Arabidopsis thaliana: one gene and its partner. The protein of the gene in region 1 interacts with the protein of each later gene in a biochemical or structural test. Each region holds a gene or a part of one and is shown on either strand. Other genes may lie near its edges.

Evidence for each region.
Region 2: the proteins of UBC19 (region 1) and UBQ3 form a complex in vitro, tested with the Arabidopsis thaliana proteins (one study listed by BioGRID).

The regions. Positions count from the first base shown.
Region 1 is NC_003074.8:7,002,139-7,006,527, reverse strand, and holds UBC19 (ubiquitin-conjugating enzyme19), read left to right. Parts: upstream 1-2,019; 5' UTR 2,020-2,244; coding exon 2,245-2,363; intron 2,364-2,682; exon of another isoform or gene 2,683-2,702; intron 2,703-2,784; coding exon 2,785-2,812; intron 2,813-2,895; coding exon 2,896-3,123; intron 3,124-3,231; coding exon 3,232-3,295; intron 3,296-3,397; coding exon 3,398-3,457; intron 3,458-3,554; coding exon 3,555-3,601; 3' UTR 3,602-3,831; downstream 3,832-4,389. Other genes in the region: TTN9 (titan9), read left to right, coding at 57-126, 321-411, 512-573, 765-982, 1,102-1,270, 1,388-1,578; TCP-1 (T-complex protein 1 alpha subunit), read left to right, coding at 4,262-4,334. UniProt on the Arabidopsis thaliana protein: Accepts the ubiquitin from the E1 complex and catalyzes its covalent attachment to other proteins. Part of the anaphase-promoting complex (APC). May have a key function during cell cycle and be involved in cyclin B1 degradation.
Region 2 is NC_003076.8:771,117-775,408, reverse strand, and holds UBQ3 (polyubiquitin 3), read left to right. Parts: upstream 1-1,895; 5' UTR 1,896-2,137; exon of another isoform or gene 2,138-2,512; coding exon 2,513-3,433; 3' UTR 3,434-3,749; downstream 3,750-4,292. Other genes in the region: AT5G03250 (Phototropic-responsive NPH3 family protein), read right to left, coding at 1-277, 390-459, 760-818.

The DNA of each region.
Region 1 (4,389 bases):
CTCCGGAATTTCGCTTTTCTGGGTTCGATTTTGATTTCGATCTCCTTTTTTTTCAGAAGAAGAAATATTCCGAATACGATGAGATTAATAAGGAACAAGAAGAGAAATTCCTTACCTTTGTTTCAGGTACCAATTTCGAAAGATTCGTTCTTTGAGTTTGAGTTCCTTTGTTCCATACTTGAATTTTAGATATCTCTAGTTAGGTTTGATTTCACATTGCAATTACAAACACTTGGAATCGAGAATTATAACAAGAGACCTTTTAAGTCTGTGAATACGTTCTTAGTGTGTCTGTCTTTTCTCTCTTTTGCTATTTGCAGCCTCAGAGGAGTTGATGGAACATTTGAGAGGTGAAAATCAGAGTTCTCTGGAGATGGTTGAGAAGTTGAGGAATGAAATCATTTCAATCAGGCATGTACTTCACCTTACCGTCTTGATTTTCCCAGACATTCTTTTTTATTTAGAGAAGTTGGAGCCTTGCTAATGTAACTATAACAATCTTGATCCACAGATCTGGCAGGGACGACAAGTTTCTGGAGTGTCAAAAGCTTCTCATGGAAGAAGAACTAAAGAGTAAGAAACTATGTTAATTGATGATAGTTGCTGCTCTATTTTCATGTGTCATGGAATGTAGCCTTATAATTGGACATGATATGTAGTTTAGTTAGGAATTTAGCTGAGATAATGTGAACTGCTTCATGGAGAGTGATGAGGACTTGGTTATAATACTGTCTAGGATAAAATCTTTGTTGTTTTTCTTACAGACAAATCACTTTCTGAAGAAGTTGTCAAGCTAAAAGAGCTGGTCCAAGAGGAACATCCTCGCAACTATGAAGATCAAAGTGGAAAAAAACAAAAGAGAAAGACTCCTGAAAGTGCTCGAGTTACAACGAGAAGCATGATAAAACGTAGCAGACTGTCAGAAGATTTGGTGGAAACGGATATGGTATCACCTGACATTAGCAAACATCATAAAGCAAAGGTAAAACAGATCACCTCTTAACCTTTCAGTTCTGAGCTGAATGTTGTGCATCTTGCTTCACAAACCCAGTGGATCATAAAATTAGCCTTACTGATACTTTTTCTTGCTTTTGTTTCAAGGAGCCTCTCTTGGTTTCTCAGCCACAATGCTGCAGAACAACCTACGATGGATCAAGTAGTTCTGCTAGTTGTACATTTCAAGCTCTTGGCAAACACTTGCTAGGAATGAAATTATCAACTAATAATAAGGGCAAACGCGCCTGCATTGTAGCCTCACACCCAACAACCGGTAATTTGTTTTTCCTGCATGATCTATTTACTTTGATTCAAAAGATCTTTTGAGATCATCAGCCACCAGAAAAGCACCAATGCTGATTTTGTTTCCCTGATTATTTTACCATAACAGGTTTATCCTTCAGCCTAACTTTTATAAATAACCCAAATGGTGAAGAATCTGAGCTGCTTTACAAGCCTGCATCACTCGGAACATTTCAAAGAGTGGCACCGGAATGGATGAGAGAAGTTATAAAGTTCAGCACAAGTATGTGTCCCATCTTCTTTGAAAGAGTCTCTCGAGTCATTAAGCTCAATTGTTGATCGGTACCGTATGTACATCTCCCTCCCCTTATCTTGTGTAGTCATCTCTGATGGCTTCTTAGTGTGATGTTTCTCAATAGGTTTGAAAAGCTAGGGAAGTTATCATTGTATCTATAGAAATGTGTCTCTCTTTAACTTTGGAATTAGTTTCAAAGATAGTGTGTCCTTGTGATGAATCATATTGTAACAAGATCTTGATTTATCCTTTGCTCTCGATACCCTCTCCTCTTGTAGACCTCATAAATCTCTGATCTATTGAGCATTTTACATGATTCAACATTTTACATATTTTTGTAACAAATTTTATCATTGGAAAGATTAAATAGCCGTTACATAAGGTAGGTGAATTTTCAATTCAAATGCATCAAAATAGCCGCTATAACCTAAGTGATAACGTTCGGAAAATGCTTTAGGATAATTCCTTTTTATTGCTTTTGAAAACGACGACGTTTCTTGTGTCGTACACGTTTTATAACCCAGACCCACGTCTCTCTCTCTCAAAGAAGAGAAGAAGAACTCTCTCTCTATCTCTATCTCTATCTCTCTTCTCCTTCTTCTTCAGTTTCGATCATTCTTGAATCTGATTCTTCTCGAGAAAAAAGCGTTTCAATTTCAGAAATTTCGACTACGATTGTTGCTTTGTTCAATTAGAAGAGGCGAAAAAGGATGGCGACGGTTAATGGGTACACAGGGAATACTCCGGCGGCGACTACACCGGCAGCCACCGGATCAAAGCAATCTGCTCCTCCGACTAAGACCGTCGATAGCCACTCCGTTCTAAAAAGGTTATTTCTTTTTTACATTTTTCCGATCTTGGAATATTCTCGCGTCCATTTAAAGGAATTAGTCTTTAGCCTCTTAATGATTAGAATCGCTGCGATTGTTTATAGAGTTGTTCATGTTTCTTTAGGTAGATTAGATTAGGTTTTGGCTCTACCCATATCCATTTCTTGTGGTCTACATGCTTTCTAGATCATTTTTAGAGAAAACGATGGATCCAAAACTGATTGTGACTTCTCTTGTTCTCTTCTGAAATGATGGGTTCTCTCTTTGTCTACCAACTGTTTGTTATAATGTCTCTAAGAGAATGATACATCAAACTTTGTATGTACTACAGATCTCAAGTACTTTCTTTTATGTACCCTTTCTTGATCAAAGCAAACAAATTCATGGTTTTGCTAATTCATTGTTTTTCCTTAATTGCAGGCTGCAATCTGAACTAATGGGATTGATGGTAAGCTATCTTTTCTCTGCATAACTGAACCTGTTGATATGGTTGGATGCTTATATAGAGGCCTTTGGGTTTATGTATTGCAGATGGGAGCTGATCCGGGGATATCTGCGTTTCCAGAGGAAGACAACATATTTTGCTGGAAAGGAACAATTACAGGAAGCAAAGATACTGTGTTCGAAGGAACTGAGTACAGACTCTCACTCACTTTCTCTAACGATTATCCTTTTAAGTCTCCCAAAGTTAAGTTTGAGACATGCTGCTTCCACCCCAATGTGGATCTCTATGGCAATATTTGCTTGGACATTCTTCAGGTACATAACAATCACTTGCTCTTTCTACTTGTGTTACTGTAAATCCCATGGAATCACATATCAGAGAAGCAGTACTTAAAACAGAATCTGTTTTCACATCTTTTGTAGGATAAATGGTCATCTGCTTATGATGTGAGGACGATATTACTCTCAATTCAAAGCCTTCTCGGAGGTAAACTCTATGGCTGATATAACTGTTGAGGTTACTTATGAAGAATTTCTCTGTTGGTTTGATCCAGTATCTGATTTTTCCTGTTTTGTTTTAATTGATCAGAACCGAACATCAGCTCACCATTGAACAATCAAGCGGCTCAGCTTTGGAGCAATCAAGAAGGTAAAATTGCAATAGTTATCAGATTACACATCTCTGGACGTCTCCATTTTTCGATTCATAATGATATTCGTCTTCTTGAACTTGTAATGTTATACAGAGTACAGGAAGATGGTTGAGAAGCTCTACAAGCCTTTAAACGCATGATTCTCAAAAATCACTGTAACTGATTTTAAAATCTCAACTGTATTGGATCATATCTCTTTTACTTTTATAATCTCAATTTGAGCCAATATTAGCAATCAAACTCTACCTTTATTACAGTTCCACAATCACCACCTATATCTCTTCCGTAACTGAGATTTGAGAAGTTCATAATAGTAACTCTGAAATGTTGTAGTAAGTATCTGAAAGTATAATACAAAAAAAAGTTTCTGAACTATTGAAAAATCCAGAAACCAAAGTTCCCCACGAGAGAAGTAAGACTCAAACATGTGAAACGTTGGCACCGGACAAAGTACTGAAGACTAATGAAATGTTTTGAAATTGACATTTATGGCCTTCTTTTTAAATCCCCAAGCCCATAATTCGTGCTTAACTCTTTATTACAAATGGGCTTTGAGGGTATATATTATTTCGGCCCAATATAAAAACGTCGCCGCTTCATTCATACCCTGGCCGTACATCCCAGAAACCTTGAAAGTTAAAAACCCGCCGGAGTCTCTCACTCTCACAAACTTTTGAGAAGCATTTTCGCTTCAATTCAATAAAAGGCGAAAAATCTCTCACTGCACTTTATCTCGAGAGCTCAGATCTCCGATCTAGAGCCTTTCGCTTCTCCTCTTCTGTTCATATAACAACTGAATAATGTCGATCTCCGCCCAAAATCCGGATATTTCCGGCGATAGACAATCCGGCCAAGATGTTCGTACTCAGAACGGTACTACTACTCTCCATCGCTTCCTCTTACGTCTATTTCCTATCTCTTCTCATTA
Region 2 (4,292 bases), on another chromosome or scaffold:
TCCCAAACACCTCGTTGAGGAAAGTCTCAGTCATACCAACAAGATTCCCTTCTCCATAGTTATCAGTCATCTCAAGGTACTCAGCTGCACATCTAAGGCTAACAACATTGAAAGCAGTAAGCTCAATTTTCACACCGTAGCAGAATTTGGTAACAAGCTCAAACGTTTTGCCGCCTCCCGGTATCTCATCTAAGCTCAACACACAGCCTGATCCATCATCAGTTGAAGACTCTTCGATTAACCTCTCAAGAAGCCCACTTCTAGATAGTAACGGAAACTACACACAAATCAAGAACACACATTACACAGTTAGATCATCAAGCTTTCACATTTATGCAATTACATCAAAACTAGGACTAAATAAACAGAGAAGATAGAGAAAATTTAACCTTGTGGAGATGAAACTTCATGTCTCCAACTTCAATGGTAACATCACTCACGAGTCCTGTAGTGCAAAGCCTGTAAGACAAGAGAGAGACATAAACCACCACCCAAAACAGAATATACTTGTCCGTACAAAATTGATTATTGATGTCACAAATCAATCAGAGCTAAATTCCAAAAAAAATATGATCTTTGAAACTTGCATCAATAACTAACGATTCTAGGAAGAGCCCATTTCGATTTCAACAAAAAGATGAGAGCTTGATTACATATAAAATCAAGAGAAATTAACGACATTGAAGAGAATTCGATCTCGAAACCGGAAACAAAGACTTATAAGTCGATTAGTCTAATTCAATGCAGAAGAAAGAATACCAGGTTTGGCCTTCACGATGGAAAGCTTCGGATTTGGAGCCAAGTCTCATAAACGCCATTGTGGAAGAAAGTCTTGAGTTGGTGGTAATGTAACAGAGTAGTAAGAACAGAGAAGAGAGAGAGTGTGAGATACATGAATTGTCGGGCAACAAAAATCCTGAACATCTTATTTTAGCAAAGAGAAAGAGTTCCGAGTCTGTAGCAGAAGAGTGAGGAGAAATTTAAGCTCTTGGACTTGTGAATTGTTCCGCCTCTTGAATACTTCTTCAATCCTCATATATTCTTCTTCTATGTTACCTGAAAACCGGCATTTAATCTCGCGGGTTTATTCCGGTTCAACATTTTTTTTGTTTTGAGTTATTATCTGGGCTTAATAACGCAGGCCTGAAATAAATTCAAGGCCCAACTGTTTTTTTTTTTAAGAAGTTGCTGTTAAAAAAAAAAAAAGGGAATTAACAACAACAACAAAAAAAGATAAAGAAAATAATAACAATTACTTTAATTGTAGACTAAAAAAACATAGATTTTATCATGAAAAAAAGAGAAAAGAAATAAAAACTTGGATCAAAAAAAAAAACATACAGATCTTCTAATTATTAACTTTTCTTAAAAATTAGGTCCTTTTTCCCAACAATTAGGTTTAGAGTTTTGGAATTAAACCAAAAAGATTGTTCTAAAAAATACTCAAATTTGGTAGATAAGTTTCCTTATTTTAATTAGTCAATGGTAGATACTTTTTTTTCTTTTCTTTATTAGAGTAGATTAGAATCTTTTATGCCAAGTATTGATAAATTAAATCAAGAAGATAAACTATCATAATCAACATGAAATTAAAAGAAAAATCTCATATATAGTATTAGTATTCTCTATATATATTATGATTGCTTATTCTTAATGGGTTGGGTTAACCAAGACATAGTCTTAATGGAAAGAATCTTTTTTGAACTTTTTCCTTATTGATTAAATTCTTCTATAGAAAAGAAAGAAATTATTTGAGGAAAAGTATATACAAAAAGAAAAATAGAAAAATGTCAGTGAAGCAGATGTAATGGATGACCTAATCCAACCACCACCATAGGATGTTTCTACTTGAGTCGGTCTTTTAAAAACGCACGGTGGAAAATATGACACGTATCATATGATTCCTTCCTTTAGTTTCGTGATAATAATCCTCAACTGATATCTTCCTTTTTTTGTTTTGGCTAAAGATATTTTATTCTCATTAATAGAAAAGACGGTTTTGGGCTTTTGGTTTGCGATATAAAGAAGACCTTCGTGTGGAAGATAATAATTCATCCTTTCGTCTTTTTCTGACTCTTCAATCTCTCCCAAAGCCTAAAGCGATCTCTGCAAATCTCTCGCGACTCTCTCTTTCAAGGTATATTTTCTGATTCTTTTTGTTTTTGATTCGTATCTGATCTCCAATTTTTGTTATGTGGATTATTGAATCTTTTGTATAAATTGCTTTTGACAATATTGTTCGTTTCGTCAATCCAGCTTCTAAATTTTGTCCTGATTACTAAGATATCGATTCGTAGTGTTTACATCTGTGTAATTTCTTGCTTGATTGTGAAATTAGGATTTTCAAGGACGATCTATTCAATTTTTGTGTTTTCTTTGTTCGATTCTCTCTGTTTTAGGTTTCTTATGTTTAGATCCGTTTCTCTTTGGTGTTGTTTTGATTTCTCTTACGGCTTTTGATTTGGTATATGTTCGCTGATTGGTTTCTACTTGTTCTATTGTTTTATTTCAGATGCAAATCTTCGTGAAAACACTCACTGGCAAGACTATCACTCTCGAGGTTGAGAGCTCTGACACCATCGACAATGTTAAGGCAAAGATTCAGGACAAGGAAGGCATTCCTCCGGATCAGCAAAGATTAATATTCGCCGGTAAACAGCTAGAAGATGGCCGTACCTTGGCCGATTACAACATTCAGAAAGAATCAACCCTTCATTTGGTTCTCCGTTTAAGAGGTGGTATGCAAATCTTTGTCAAGACTCTGACTGGCAAGACCATTACTTTGGAGGTTGAGAGCTCTGACACTATTGACAACGTCAAAGCAAAGATCCAGGACAAGGAAGGAATCCCTCCGGATCAGCAGAGACTTATCTTTGCCGGTAAGCAGCTTGAAGACGGAAGAACTCTTGCTGACTACAACATTCAAAAGGAGTCGACCCTTCATTTGGTGCTTCGTCTCAGAGGTGGTATGCAAATCTTTGTCAAGACCCTCACTGGTAAAACAATCACCCTTGAGGTTGAGAGTTCAGACACCATTGACAATGTCAAAGCTAAGATCCAAGATAAAGAGGGAATTCCTCCGGATCAGCAGAGGCTTATCTTTGCCGGTAAGCAGCTCGAAGATGGACGCACCCTTGCAGATTACAACATCCAAAAGGAGTCGACACTTCATCTTGTGCTTCGTCTCCGTGGTGGTATGCAGATCTTTGTGAAGACCCTTACCGGAAAGACCATTACTCTGGAGGTTGAAAGCTCAGACACCATCGATAATGTCAAGGCTAAGATTCAGGACAAGGAAGGGATCCCACCAGACCAACAGAGACTCATCTTCGCTGGAAAACAGCTTGAGGATGGTCGCACACTTGCAGATTACAACATCCAGAAGGAGTCGACTCTTCACTTGGTTCTTCGTCTTCGTGGTGGAAGCTTCTAAGCTTTTTGTGATCTGATGATAAGTGGTTGGTTCGTGTCTCATGCACTTGGGAGGTGATCTATTTCACCTGGTGTAGTTTGTGTTTCCGTCAGTTGGAAAAACTTATCCCTATCGATTTCGTTTTCATTTTCTGCTTTTCTTTTATGTACCTTCGTTTGGGCTTGTAACGGGCCTTTGTATTTCAACTCTCAATAATAATCCAAGTGCATGTTAAACAATTTGTCATCTGTTTCGGCTTTGATATACTACTGGTGAAGATGGGCCGTACTACTGCATCACAACGAAAAATAATAATAAGATGAAAAACTTGAAGTGGAAAAAAAAAAAAACTTGAATGTTCACTACTACTCATTGACCATAATGTTTAACATACATAGCTCAATAGTATTTTTGTGAATATGGCAACACAAACAGTCCAAAACAATTGTCTCTTACTATACCAAACCAAGGGCGCCGCTTGTTTGCCACTCTTTGTGTGCAATAGTGTGATTACCACATCTCCACATTCAATATATTCCCTGAATTATCTGACGATTTTGATGGCTCACTGTTTTCCCAAGTCTTGAATTGTCTTCTGTGCGCCAGTCAAATGCATATGTGTTGAGTTTATCTTTTAAATATCAAGCTTTTGTTTTTAACTTTTGTTTGTAACCAAAAACTCACAGTAGGAGTTTGATCACATAATTTTATGTTTGCCTTTGCAATTTCTAGTGAGTCTTTGATTAAAAGCTTGAAAAGAAAATGCAGCCAAGCTTACCAAGTAAGTTATGTGTATTAACCAGAGGAAGAGAGAATCTTGCAAAATTTCAACAAACACAAAAAGAAGTATTACTACGATTGGTGGAGAAAGAAAACGATT